Stegostoma tigrinum: one gene and its partner. The protein of the gene in region 1 purifies or fractionates together with the protein of each later gene. This does not show direct contact. Links are inferred from orthologs where the notes say so. Each region holds a gene or a part of one and is shown on either strand. Other genes may lie near its edges.

Evidence for each region.
Region 2: the proteins of plcg2 (region 1) and lyn purify together in Homo sapiens (affinity purification with western blotting; 3 studies listed by BioGRID, with this or other methods). This does not show direct contact. The link is inferred for Stegostoma tigrinum from reciprocal best matches to the Homo sapiens genes PLCG2 and LYN.

What each region holds. Positions count from the first base shown.
Region 1 is NC_081369.1:46,215,025-46,222,101, forward strand, and holds the start of plcg2 (1-phosphatidylinositol 4,5-bisphosphate phosphodiesterase gamma-2), read left to right. Parts: upstream 1-4,072; 5' UTR 4,073-4,107; coding exon 4,108-4,303; intron 4,304-7,077. UniProt on the Homo sapiens protein: The production of the second messenger molecules diacylglycerol (DAG) and inositol 1,4,5-trisphosphate (IP3) is mediated by activated phosphatidylinositol-specific phospholipase C enzymes. It is a crucial enzyme in transmembrane signaling.
Region 2 is NC_081358.1:65,317,787-65,325,767, reverse strand, and holds the start of lyn (tyrosine-protein kinase Lyn), read left to right. Parts: upstream 1-4,978; 5' UTR 4,979-5,013; coding exon 5,014-5,033; intron 5,034-7,981. UniProt on the Homo sapiens protein: Non-receptor tyrosine-protein kinase that transmits signals from cell surface receptors and plays an important role in the regulation of innate and adaptive immune responses, hematopoiesis, responses to growth factors and cytokines, integrin signaling, but also responses to DNA damage and genotoxic agents.

The DNA.
Region 1 (7,077 bases):
GGGTGTAGTCACAAATGTGAAGCTGAGTGCACAGTTATATCAGTCATGATCTTACTGAGTGGTAGAACAGGCTTCATTTGCCAAATTGCTGACTCCTGCACCTATGTTCTTATGCTGGTACTGATATCTTAGCTATAATTCAGCTGGAACTGGCCTTACTGGCACACAAGATCACAAAATTTTAAGTGTAATTTGTTTGCAGTGCAGCTTGAGCTTCCATAGTCTTTTGACTTTTAGGTTGAGAAGCATTGTATCTGAAGTAAACCTCATCTACAATGCTGAATAATAGCCCTGGGTGTAATAATCATAGCTAGGAATTTCCACAATTTGTATCAATTTGCAGGTATGTTAGAATGCTTTAAAAATTAAGCTTGCACTGCTGGGTGAAAAGAAACTGAAAGGGATTTTCGAAAAACCTCCAAACGTGCTTTTTCATTTAATTTAGTAGGAAACTGACTAACTAACCAACATAAGTAGAAAATGGTTTCATATTCTTTAAAATGTAAAATGCCAGTTATTTAAAATTGGATTACTCAGAGAAGGTGGATGAACATTAATTAAAAATGCTTATTTTTACGATAAACCTATATCCATCTGTTTTAATCAGAACTCATTCCCTGCTTTTGCCTCCAAGTTTCCCTGCACCCTGTCTCCAGTGACTCCTCTCTGGCCCCCAGCCTGTTCCCAAGAGGCAGTCATCTTCAACTGAAAATTTAACCCCTCTTCTCCCTCCTCAGCCCTGCTGACCATTTTCAGTATTTACTCTTAATTGTCAATGGTTTGGCTTCAAGATAGCATTTCTTGAACATCTTCAGCACAATGTTTTGCTTTCACAGATTATAGCTAAATATGCTTCCTCACCTTGTATATGCCCCACAGGCAACCCAGAAAGCATTTCCCAAAAATGAATGCATGCTGTGAAGAAAAATAGGATACAGATGACTACAGGAAATGTCTGAGCAGTGTCAGGAGATCTAAAAGAGAATATCTCTTCTAATAGAAATTACAATGGGGGATATTATTCATACTAAGGCGCTGTCCATCTTTTTTTTCAAACTTCAAGAACAATTTGTTAAGAAAAATGCCCAGATCTTGAGCATAAAATCAGGGCTTACATTCTGGTACAGTATTGAGAGATTGCTGCATTGTCGGATTTTTTGTTTGTTTGGATGAGACGTTAAACCAAGAACTTAACTGGTCTCTCAGATGTGTGTAAAAGATTGCGAAGTGGTATTTCAAACAGCTGAGGAATTAACCTTTATACTTTGGACTATATTTAATTTTCAAAGGACATCACAATAACCAATTAGCTGGTCAGTATCACATTGTTGGTCGTGGAAATGGCAGTTGCCGACATATTTGTTTCTGACATGTATTTTGTAAAAGCGTTTCATTGACTTTAAGGAGTTTTGGAACATGATAAATCCATGAAGGTTATTATATGTATGCCTTCAAACAGATTTGTAATAGTAAATTCCAATTACCCTGTTACACAGCAGATTTCTCTAGCAGTTAAGTATTGTTCGAATTTGTGCATTCGCTAACCATCAGTCTGGTTTCTATTCATCTTTGGAAACCTATCAACTCCAAAGTCTGCCTCTCCCGTAATGTAGTGCATATTTCAAAAGACATACTTTAAACTTGTTTTCCAAACCTCACTACTCATCATCCTTAACCACAGGTTTTGTTTCCTTATCCATCTCCCTGTACAAATACAGCCTAATAAAATATTCCCTCACACATAAAATTATAGAACAAAAGCCTTGATTAGCTATTTTAGTGCATTGTTAACGAAAGACTACATTCACAGTGCTTGTTAAAAATTATGATTTTATGCTACTGTATTATTCTGTCAGATAATTACATGCAGCAAATCAAAGCCATGCTAGACTAGCAAACATCATCAAATTTATGAACAAAAGCAAAGTTACTGGAAAAGCTCAGCACGTCTGGCAGCTTCTGTGAATGAAAAAACAGAGTTAAAAACCAAAAGAACTGCGGATGCTGTAAATCAGGAACAAAAACAAAGTTGCTGGAAGAGCTCAGCAGATCTGGCAGCATCTGTGGAGGAGAAAACAGAGTTAACCTTTCAGGTCCGGTGACCCTTCCTCAGAACTCAGGATCAAATTTATTTCAAGTTTGCTGCAGGAATTCTCCTGCTAACTTAGTTAACCCTTTCACCCATTAAATTCTATATTTTCAATCGGCTTCCGGATCACTAAAACTAACATTTGTTACTGTTTTTAAGTGGTATCCTCGCTTTCCAATGTACGTCGTCTATAATGATACCACAGAAGTACAACCAGGTCTCAATACTTCGGCATGTAAAATGAGAAGGAATTACTTTATCGCTTTATAAGAGGAATTGTGCATTTGTGTTAAGCCTTTGAATTAAAGTTAAAGACTTGGAAATGACATGACAGATGAAAAATTTGCCCAAAAAACAAAATCCTAAAGTTCTTAACCTTTAGAGACAGGGCAGATTTGCGATAGTTAAAAGGGAATAACAATAAGGTACAGCCGTAGTTCAATCCATTTTGATCAGTGACAATGAGGAGTCATACATAGCTTGTATCAACTACAGGAAATTTATGTTGGAAGCAAAGAGAAACAAAGCATGAACTCCCTAATAACCCAGTTGGACGCAAACTGCAATCCTAATCAAGTAACTGACGGCAAGGAGGATTTAGGAGCAAGACTGTAGTGATATTGGTGCATAGATTTGTGCATATTCAGTGAAAGAAACTTATTATGCTCAGAGAAACTAAGAACTGCCGATGCTGGAGTCTGAGATAACACAGTGTGGAGCTGGAGAAGCACAGCAGGCCAGGCAACATCAGAGGAGCTGGAAAGCTGACGTCTCGGGTCGGGACCCTTCTTCAGAAGTTTTTTTATAGACAACATCCTTCTGAAGAAGGGTCCCGACCCGAAACGTCAGCTTTCCTGCTCCTCTGATGCTGCCTGGCCTGCTGTGTTCTTCCGGCTCCACACTTATAATAATGCTCACAGCTGTCGTGAAAACAACTTTATTAGATCAGAAGAAAGCTTTATTCAACGGAAGTGTCTTTCTATTTTTAATATAGAAAGAGGAAGAGAGAAAGAATGGGAGAGTAAAAGAGAGTGAAAAAAATCGCGCAGATATAAGAAACACAGTAGGAAGAAGCAAAAAGTAGACAATCGATTAGAGAGAACAGATAAATTAGAGAAAAGAAACCGGTTCTATTAATAATACGCTGGATGGTATCTGTAACTGTTACTATAACAAATATTTTGATTCCAACATTGCAACGGAAAATGCATGGAAGATCAATGAATGAATAGAAGCATTTGTAATAATCATCCGGCTACTCGAGCTGCAAACGCTATTGTAGTATTATTTTCCTGACCATTTAAAATATTTTGTTTTAATCACCAGTTAGATCTGTCTGCTTCTCAATGCTTACACGTTTGCACATTGAGACTCAAAACTGAAAAGTGATAATAGCACCTTTTTTTTCAGGACGAAGATGGTTTGCCGAGTTTGGAATGAAAGGGACCGCTCGGTGTTCAAAGATAATAAAATGTGAGGCTGGATGAACACAGCAGGCCAAGCAGCATCTCAGGAGCACAAAAGCTGACGTTTTGGGCTGGGTGTTCATGTCTGCGCCAGATGGCGCTGTGTAAATGAAACTGACACATCTGACTCCCTTCAATTTGTAACTAACGTACCTTTGGACAACTTCACAGTTTTGAATAGATCACATCAACGGCGTTTCCGGACCAAGTTTTTTTTTCAAAGAAAATTTAGCCAACTTCCTCATGCAGCCAAATTGCGGAACATGCAAGATGTTTGTTTTGTAGACATGAAAAACTTCTGGCCCTGTTCGTGTGCTCGAAGTGATCCTAAAAAAAAAGCCATTGTAGCGTTTCTTGGTCCCTGCAAAAGGTTCCAGATGAGGGGATTTGCTTGAAAGTATTCAGCGCAGCGCTCTGCCGTGCGTCTGTGTGTGCTTTAGCGACGACGAAGCTGGACGCCGATCCAGTTTCCTTTCATCGGTCTGAGTTGTTACAAAACTAAAAAGAGTCCGGGGGTTAGGGGGAGGGTGGGAGGGAAGGAGAGCGGCGAAGATGTCCTGGAATAAAGACGGTTTGGATTCTATGTCGGAGCCGGAGAAAAGTCAGCTGAAAAGGACCTTGGAGTTGGGTGCTGTGATGACAGTCTTCAGCCTGAAGAAGTCTCAACCCGAGAGGAGAACACTGCAGGTGATCATGGAAACTCAACAACTGTCCTGGAACAGGACGGCAGACAAGATCGAGGGAGTCCGTGAGTATCTATTCTCTCTGATGCAGGCTTCAGTCTGGCTGTACTGAGTGCTGCGGTACTCCTGCTGAGCTAACCATTTTCGGGCCAGTTTTTGAAAGGCTTTGAAGCACTGATTATCATTCTGCGCTGTGAATTAATTTCAGAAAGGTAAACTGCAAATAAGCCATCAAATCCTTGCCATTTAGTCAGCATTCTTAAATTTGCTTCTTTCTTAAAACGTTCCTTTCATTGAGACAGATTAAGGGAAGCATTTCCAGAGCAACCCACTTCAGAGAAGTTATGTTAACATAGAACATAACGGCACAGTACAGGCCCTTCGGCCCTCGATGTTGTGCCAACCTGTCATACCGATCTCAAGCCCATCTAAACTACACAATTCCATGTACGTCCATATGCTTATCCAATGACGACTTAAATGTACCTAAAGTTGGCGAATCTACTACCGTTGCAGGCAAAGCGTTCCATTCCCTTACTACTCTTTGAGTAAAGAAACTACCTCTGACATCTGTCCTATATCATTCATCCCTCAATTTAAAGCTATGCCCCCTCGTGCTCGCCGTCACCATCCTAGGAAAAAGGCTCTCCCTATCCACCCTATCTAACCCTCTGATTATTTTATATGTTTCAATTAAGTCACCTCTCAACCTTCTTCTCTCTAACGAAAACAGCCACAAGTCCCTCAGCCTTTCCTCGTAAGGCCTTCCCTCCATACCAGGCAACATCCTAGTAAATCTCCTCTGCACCTTTTCCAAAGCTTCCACATCCTTCTTATAATGCGGTGACCAGAACTGTACACAATACTCCAAGTGCGGCCGCACCAGAGTTTTGTACAGCTTCACCATAACCTCTTGGTTCCGGAACTCGATCCCTCTATTTATAAAAGCTAAAACACTGTATGCCTTCTTAACAGCCCTGTCAACCTGAGTGGCAACTTTCAAGGATCTGTGTACATGGACACCGAGATCTGTCTGCTCATCTACACTACCAAGAATCTTACCATTAGCCCAGTACTCTGCCTTCCGGTTACTCCTACCAAAGTGCATCACCTCACACTTGTCTGCATTAAACTCCATTTGCCACCTCTCAGCCCAGCTCTGCAGCTTATCTATGTCTCTCTGCAACCTACAGCATCCTTCGTCTCTATCAACCGGTTTACTCTCGTCTACCTGTTTGGCCACCTTCTCAAAGAACTCAAGAAGGTTTGTGAGGCACGACCTTCCCTTCACAAAACCATGCTGACTATCCCTAATCAATTTATTCTTTTCGAGAGGATTATAAATCCTATCCCTTATAACCTTTTCCAACACTTTACCAACAACTGAGGTAAGGCTCACTGGTCTATAATTACCAGGGTTGTCTCTACTCCCCTGCTTGAACAGGGGAACCACATTTGCTATCCTCCAGTCGTCTGGCACTGTTCCTGTAGACAATGACGGGTTAAAGATCAATGCCAAAGGCTCGGCAATCTCCTCCCTGGCTTCCCAGAGGATCCGTGGATAAATCCCATCTGGTTCAGGGGACTTATCTATCTTCACCTTCTGAAGGATTTCTAATACCTCTTCGTTGTGAACCTCAATCCCACCTAGTCTAGTAGCCTGTATCTCAGTATTCTCCTCAACAACATTGTCGATTTCTAGAGTGAATACTGTTGAAAAATATTCATTTAGCGCTTCCCCTATCTCATTTGACTCCACACACAACTTACCACTACTATCCTTGATTGGCTCTAATCTTACTTTCGTCATTCTTTTATTCCTTATATACCTATAGAAAGCCTTAGGGTTTACCCTGATCCTATCCGCCAACTTCTCATGTCTCCTCCTGGCTCTTCTGAGCTCTCTCTTTAGGAAACCAGGAAATAGCTTGCGCCCACTCTCCAAATTTGGGCAACATAACTCAGGCTGGCATTTCAACGCAGCACATAGGGGCTGTCTGGCTGTTTATTTGAGGCGGCAGCCAAGCCCTTGCTTCAAAATCTCATCCAAAAGCTGGTTTTAAAATTCTGTAATCAGATATGGTATCCACTTTCAAGAGAGACATGATGGCAAGGACTCATCTACCAAGTGAGTGAAAATGATTCCATGATACTATTTCAAAAAAGAGCAGCATCACCAAAACATATTACCCCGTCATTACCACGCCATTTGTGGGATCTTGCTGTGTACAATTTGGTTGCTGCCTTTCCTACATTATGATAATGATGAGAGAGTTAATGGAGGGCTTTGAGATAAAGAGGTTCATGACCTGAGATTATTTCCCCTCTTATTCCACATTAACACTGTGGAGACTCCCAAGTGCCCTTAAAACTAGCAGGGAAGCTGTCTCAGAGATAATAGGAACTGCGGATGCTGGAGAATCCAAGATAACAAGGTATAGAGCTGGATGAACACAGCAGGCCAAGCAGCATCAGAGCAGCAGGAAGGCTGATGTTTCGGGCCTAGACCCTTCATCAGAAAAGGGGGAGGGGAAGGGGGTTCTGAAATAAATAGGTCCAGAGGGGGAGGCAGATTGAAGACGTATGGAGGAGACGATAGGTGGAGTGTAGATACTCAAGTTAAAGAAGTGGATATGGAGCCAATAAAGGTGAGTGTAAGTGGGGAGGTAGGGAGTAAATAGGTCAGTCCAGGGAGGACAGAGAGGTCAAGGGGGCGGGGCAAGGTTATTGGAAATTGGGAGGAAATTGGGGGGGCGACTTGAGGTGAGAGGAGGGGACGAGTTGGGCTGGTTTTGGGATGCAGTAGGGGGAGGGGAGATTTTGAAGCTTGATAACATTG
Region 2 (7,981 bases), on another chromosome or scaffold:
AGAATGTTCACAGATCATAGATCACAGAATCCCAACAGTGTGGAAACAGGCCCTTCAGCCAACAAATCCACACTGACACTCAAAGCATCCCACCCAGACCATCCTCCTAATCTACACTTCCCTGAACACTATGGGCAATTCAGCATGGCCAAGCCACCTAGTCTGCACATCTTTGGAATGTGGGAGGAAACCGGAGCACCCAGATGAAACTCGCACAGAGAAAGGGAGAAGGTAGAAACTCCACACAAACAGTTGCCTGAGGGTGAAATCAATCCTGGGTCACTGGCACTGTGAGGCAGCAGTGCTAACCACTGAGCCACTGTGCTGTCCTTCCCACTACAGCTCGCAAGCAAAGTGAACTTTGTTGATGGATGCCCTCAATATTGGTGATCTTGCAGCTGCTCTCCATTCGTCACAGAACAGAAATCAATTGATGTGATTTAAATGAAGCCAAGGGGTTAAAATGATATGGAGGTGCCAGTATTGGACTGGGGTGGACAAAGTCAGAAGTCATATGATACCAGGTTATAGTCCAGGTGCACCTGATGAGGCTGCACTCCAAAAGCTTGTGTGATTCCACATTAATCAGTCGGACTGTTACCTGGTGTCATGTGACTTCTGAAAGAGTTTAAATAGCCCAGGTGTTGTCTCTTAAGTAGTAGATGAGTTTGTAATTCTTTTTGCTACTAACCTACCTACAGTTCAAATACTGCAATTTGAGGTAGAATGGCCTCACTACTTGTTGGCAGGTCATCTGGCTATGAATGAAAAATCTGTGTGCTGAGGACTATAAAGAATTTGACTCCTTAGCATTTTTCTTGTATTTCAGCTTGAATGTCGACCTGAGAATGAACTGGAACCATTGGTTGGGCCAACAGGCTAGAACTGAAATTAGGATAGCATGAAAACACAGGCTGATTTTTGTGGGACCTATGCCTACCAAATGAGAATTCTAAATATTGGTGGAGGATGTTTGAAAGGAAGGCTTTTTTTTTGCGCGTAATGGGTGCCAGATATCCAGAGGTGATTACAATTGAAGGAAACGTTGTCCAGGAGGAAGGTGCCCAAAGATTCGCTTGTGGCACTCAAAGGAACATTCTTTCCCTCCCTGGTCTACAAGGAAGCCTATACAAAGTTAAAATTTACATTTCTGGGTCTCTTTTGATTCTCAACCCAGTAGTGGGCAGGCCACTACTGTCTCTGCTTTAGCCTCCAATTAAAATGGCAGATGGTATTATTGAAGCTCAACCTGTATATTTAAAGAGTACACAATAAAACTAAGCTGGCTGTACTTGGAAAGGAGTCTCTCTTTTATTTCCTTTTATCAAGTTTCCACTCAGACAGAGTTACAATCAAGGCTAGTAGTGAGCATTTAGAAATACACCTAAAAATCTGGATAGCTGGCATGGATTTATTGACTTGGTTGCTATTTGCAAAGATAAGTTATGCAGTAGATGTCGTGTATTTTGTTTTCTGAATGAATTCAATAAAATATCTTGCAAGACTTTTATTGAAAAAATTCTAATGTCACAGTCCAAAACATGCAAATAGTTGAACAGGAAATGAACACTGATGACAAGTAAATATAGCTTGATGATTTGAGCTTGGTACAAAGAAATATGTGAATATTTTCTGATGAAATAAAAAGTAGTTAACAGGATTATGAAAGTCTTCAGAAAAACAAGCAGGTTTGTCTTTTCTATTTAGGGTTTAGAACATTTAATAAGAATAGGGAGGGGGGAAAAAGAGGAGGGGGTGTAGCACTACTAATCAGAGAGGGTATCACAGCTACAGAAGCTTCCTTTGTCGAGGAAGATCTGCCTACTGAGTCAGTATGGGTGGAAATTAGGAACAGCAAGGGAGTAGTCACCTCGTTAGGGGTTTACTACAGGTCCCCCAGTAGCAGCAGGGAGATTGAAGAAAGCATAGGTCGACAGATTTTGGAAAAGTGTGCACGCAGTAGGGTTGTTGTAATGGGTGACTTTAACTTTCCTAATATTGATTGGAACCTCCTTCGAGCAGAAGATTTGAATGGAGCTGTTTTTGTAAGGTGTGTTCAGGAGGGTTTCCTAACGCAGTACGTTGACAGGCTGACGAGGGGAGAGGCCATTCTTGACTTGGTGCTCAGAAACGAGCCGGGGCAGGTATCAGATCTTGTGGTGGGAGAGCATTTTGGTGATAGTGACCATAACTGCCTCACATTCTACATAGCTATGGAGAAGGAGAGGATTAGGCAATATGGGAGGATATTTAATTGGGGAAGAGGAAACTATGATGCGATTAGACATGAGTTAGGAAGCATGGACTGGGAGCAGTTGTTCCATGGTAAGGGAACTATAGACATGTGGAGACGGTTTAAGGAACAGTTGTTGGGAGTGATGAGTAAATATGTCCCTCTGAGACAGGCAAGAAGGGGTAAGATTAAGGAACCTTGGATGACGAGAGCGGTGGAGCTTCTCGTCAAAAGGAAGAAGGTAGCTTACATAAGGTGGAGGAAGCTAGGGTCAAGTTCAGCTAGAGAGGATTACATGCAGGCAAGGAAGGAGCTCAAAAATGGTCGGAGGAGAGCCAGGAGGGGGCACGAGAAAGGCTTGGCAGAAGGAATCCGGGAAAACGCAAAGGCATTTTACACTTACGTGAGGAATAAGAGAATGGTCAAAGAAAGAGTAGGGCCGATCAGGGATAGCATAGGGAACTTGTGTGTGGAGCCTGAGGAGGTAGGGGAAGCCCTAAATGAGTTTTTTGCTTCTGTCTTTACGAAAGAAACGAACTTTGTAGTGAATGAAACCTTTGAAGAGCAGGTGTGCATGCTGGAATGGATAGAGATAGACGAAGCTGATGTGCTGAAAATTTTGTCAAACATTAAGATTGACAAGTCGCCAGGCCCGGATCAGATTTGTCCTCGGCTGCTTTGGGAAGCGAGAAATGCAATTGCTTCGCCACTTGCGAAGATCTTTGCAACCTCGCTCTCCACTGGAGTCGTACCTGAGGACTGGAGAGAGGCAAATGTAATTCCTCTCTTCAAGAAAGGAAATAGGGAAATCCCCGGCAATTATAGACCGGTAAGTCTCACGTCTGTCGTCTGCAAGGTGTTAGAAAGGATTCTGAGGGATAAGATTTATGACCATCTGGAAGAGCATGGCTTGATCAAATACAGTCAACACGGCTTTGTGAGGGGTAGGTCATGCCTTACAAACCTTATCGAGTTTTTTGAGGATGTGACTAGAAAAGTTGATGAGGGTCGAGCTGTGGATGTGGTGTATATGGACTTCAGTAAGGCATTTGATAAGGTTCCCCATGGTAGGCTCATTCAGAAGGTCAGGAGGAATGGGATACAGGGGAACTTAGCTGCTTGGATACAGAATTGGCTGGCCAACAGAAGACAGCGAGTGGTAGTAGAAGGAAACTATTCTGCCTGGAAGTCAGTGGTGAGTGGAGTTCCACAGGGCTCTGTCCTTGGGCCTCTACTGTTTGTAATTTTTATTAATGACTTGGACGAGGGAATTGAAGGATGGGTCAGCAAGTTTGCAGACGACACCAAGGTCGGAGGTGTCGTTGACAGTGTAGAGGGCTGTTGTAGGCTGCAGCGTGACATTGACAGGATGCAGAGATGGGCTGAGAGGTGGCAGATGGAGTTCAACCTGGATAAATGCGAGGTGATGCATTTTGGAAGGTCGAATTTGAAAGCTGAGTACAGGATTAAGGATAGGATTCTTGGCAGCGTGGAGGAACAGAGGGATCTTGGTGTGCAGATACATAGATCCCTTAAAATGGCCACCCAAGTGGACAGGGTTGTTAAGAAAGCATATGGTGTTTTGGCTTTCATTAACAGGGGGATTGAGTTTAAGAGTCGTGAGATCTTGTTGCAGCTCTATAAAACTTTGGTTAGACCGCACTTGGAATACTGCGTCCAGTTCTGGGCGCCCTATTATAGGAAAGATGTGGATGCTTTGGAGAGGGTTCAGAGGAGGTTTACCAGGATGCTGCCTGGACTGGAGGGCTTATCTTATGAAGAGAGGTTGACTGAGCTCGGTCTCTTTTCATTGGAGAAAAGGAGGAGGAGAGGGGACCTAATTGAGGTATACAAGATAATGAGAGGCATAGATAGAGTTGATAGCCAGAGACTATTTCCCAGGGCAGAAATGGCTAGCACGAGGGGTCATAGTTTTAAGCTGGTTGGTGGAAAGTATAGAGGGGATGTCAGAGGCAGGTTCTTTACGCAGAGAGTTGTGAGAGCATGGAATGCGTTGCCAGCAGCAGTTGTGGAAGCAAGGTCATTGGGGTCATTTAAGAGACTGCTGGACATGTATATGGTCACAGAAATTTGAGGGTGCATACATGAGGATCAATGGTCGGCACAACATTGTGGGCTGTAGGGCCTGTTCTGTGCTGTACTGTTCTATGTTCTATGTTCTATGTTCTATTTAAATGCTGTGAATACGTAAGTAATGATGTTTGTTGAAAACTTCTGTTTATTGTTCTATGCGCAATTTTGGCTGCCTTAAAGGTCATTAAGGCATAGGTGTTGGAAATTGAGCACCCCCCAGAAAAAAACTATATAAACTCACCATTCCATATCTGGTGTTTCCTGTGTAACATGAGGCCTCCTCTAACTGTGTTGTAGTAGTAATGAGTCTTCTACTGGTGAAAAGATTTGTTGAGTGCCACACTAACCGACTATTAGTGCATGTTTTCAAAGCTAAAATAAAGTTCTGTTCTTTAGAAGCAATGAAAACTAATATTCAAATGGGGATGGGAAAGGGGACAGTGGGTTATCACAGGCTGTGTACTTTTTTTTTGCCTACTTAACTGATGTATAGTATTATCATATCTAAACCGCTGTTGAACAAACTCAATAAACTATTGAAAATTTTCTATAAATCATTGACTGCCTGCATGAGGAAACTGATCTCAAAGGCCCCAAAATCAATATAGGGCAGCAACAAGTGAAAGCCAATTCCAAGCGTTAAAGACCCAATAAAATCTGAATCAGAACATTGAATAATCCCTCCTATGACTGGGTGGGTTTGCAGGTGAGTAGAGATTTACTAAGCATTTCACCCTGACCTTTAGTTTGGGGAAAAAAAAGAGTGCAGAGCACTTATAATTCACCAGATGAGAGTGGAGCAGGAAATGTTTTTCAGTAAAACTGATAAGCTGAGATGCCTTCAAACAGCGAACTGAATAACTGCAACCATGCCTAGGTGAAACGCTACTGCTTACAACACTTTTGCTGAGTTTTTCTTGTTGCTTGGTACATATTGAATAAATCCTTGGAAATCTGTTCACTTTTCTTATACTTCTGTCACCTTGCACTGCTTGCTTGTCAACCTTCACTGCAATATGGTTTCACATGTTGTGGTGGCCAAGTGGTTAGCACTGCTGTCTCACAGCACCAGGGACCCAGGGTCAATTCCAGTCTAGGGCGACTCTCTGTGCAGAGTTTACACGTTCTCCCCATGTCTCCGTCGGTTTCCTCCCACAGTCTCAAGATTCAGGTTAGTGGATTAGTGCAGGTTAAGTGGATTGGCCATGCTAAATCGCCCGTAGTGTTTAGGGATGTGTAGATTAGATGGGTTATCGCGGGGTTGGATCTGGTTGGGATGCTCTGAGGGTCACTGTGGACTTGTTGGGCTGAAGGGCCTGTTTCCACACAGTTGAGATTCTATGAATATGGGATCAGCTTATGCAAGTCTACATCAGACCTCTGATATGGAAAAAGATGAGCAATAGCAAGAACAACATCAGCTTCCTTCTCCTTAGCCACTTCTTGTTTTACATTATGGAGGATTTGAACATGGAGCTCCAACTCCAAAGAAATGAGACCCCTTAAACAGTCTACAGGTTTAGAATGTGTTGTTTTTTACTTTGTATAACACCAGTTACTTGAGAATCAAGCATTCATAAGCAAATCATTGCCATCAGCCTCTTGGAACAAATCCTCCCTGCCAGTGGACCAATTAGGCTGGTATTACCAGCAACCATCAAGGAGACTATCACTGAAGATCCCCATACCCTTCCTCTCCTTGGATTTCTTTTCTCTTCTCTATAAGGAGAGAAAGCAGAGAGTTGTAAATAATGGACTGTATGGATCAGAAAGTATGAACCTGTGTGAATTGTGACTGTGTGAGCTTGGTGTAACATGATACAGAAATGAATGCATGTTGGCTACCCAGATGGGAACGAGTGATCTCTTACAAGATGAGGTATTTGGTTTGAGGAATGCTGGGCAGGGAAATGCTGGGAATATCAGAAATATCTGAAGAGTTTTGACACACTCTTTTGCTCAGATGAATTCCTTGAAAGTCTCGGGCTCTTAGCAGAGGATTCCTTGAACTGTTCACTTCCTTGACCATCTGCTTAGTTGGAGAGGCTGCCCTCTTTCTTCAGTCCTTGACTAATATCACCCAACTTCACCACCACCGCTCCCCCCACCGCCACCACCGGTCCCACGGCAACAAATCCAAGTAAGAGACAGAAACACCAAAAGCATCCTCCTTTGACCTTGCTTTGTAATGCTGTGGTTGCTGAAGACACGGGAATCCATGTACAAGTTGTTTCCAGGACATCATCCTGCCTGCCCTCACTCTGATTCGAAACAGAATGTTAATGTTATGTTAAATAGCCATGGTAATGACCATTAACAGAACAAGTGGGTTCGTGACCTGCTTAAATGTGTTTTTGTCAAGTTAATATTTTTCCCATGGAGAATATAGGAGTGAAGAATGGGAAATTCAGAGTAAGTACTCAAGAATCTAAAGCCATTTCTGCTGAATGAGATTTACTGCGCTGTCACAACTGGGGCATTTACAGCCATTCTCACTCAGAATTGCCTAGTGGGTGATCCATTTTGGCTTCTTCCTGAGGTCTTCAGCATCACAAATACAAGTCTTTAATTTGATGCACTCCATGTAAGCTCAAGAAATGGCTGAAGCTACTGGATACTGCAAAGGATATAGTCTTTAACAGTATTCTGGCAAAGTACAAAAGAATTGTGCTCTTGAGTTTACTGGACCCTAGGTATTTCGGTGCAGCTACAGCACTGGTATCTACCCATCAGTATGGAAAATAATCCAAATATATCCTGTCCACAAAATGCAGGACAAATCCAACATAGCCAATTACCACCCTATCAAAGTGTTGGATGGGAGTGTCAACAGTGTTGTCAAGCAGTATTGGCTCTGCAATAACCTGCTTACTGCCATTCATTTTGGATTCAACCAAGCCCTTTCAGCTCCTGGCCTCATTACAGACCCATTTTAAGTGACAAATAATGACCACCTATTTTGAAGTTCAATAGGATTAGCATTACCATCAATGAATCTGCATTTGTGTGTTGATATCCACGTACCTTAATTGCTAACGGAGTCTTTCGTCTCATTTCCAGAAGGCCTTTTGAAAGTTTACCTGTACTATCATGTGGAACTATTATGTCATGAGACCTATTCATGTTTAACTGAACAGAGAACATAGAACAGTACAGGCCCTCAGCCCTCGATGTTGTGCCAACCTGTCATACCGATCTCAAGCCCATCTAACCTACACTATTCCACGTACATCCATATGCTTATCCAATGATGACTTAAATGTACCTAAAGTTGGCGAATCTACTACCGTTGCAGGCAAAGCGTTCCATTCCCTTACTACTCTCTGAGTAAAGAAACTACCTCTGACATCTGTCCTACATCTTTCACCCCTCAATTTAAAGCTATGCCCCCTCGTGCTCGCCGTCACCATCCTAGGAAAAAGGCTCTCCCTATCGACCCTATCTAACCCTCTGATTATTTTATATGTTTCAATTAAGTCATCTCTCAACCTTCTTCTCTCTAATGAAAACAGCCTCAAGTCCCTCAGCCTTTCCTCATAAGACCTTCCCTCCATACCAGGCAACATCCTAGTAAATCTCCTCTGCACCCTTTCCAAAGCTTCCACATCCTTCTTATAATGCAGTGACCAGAACTGTACATAATACTCCAAGTGC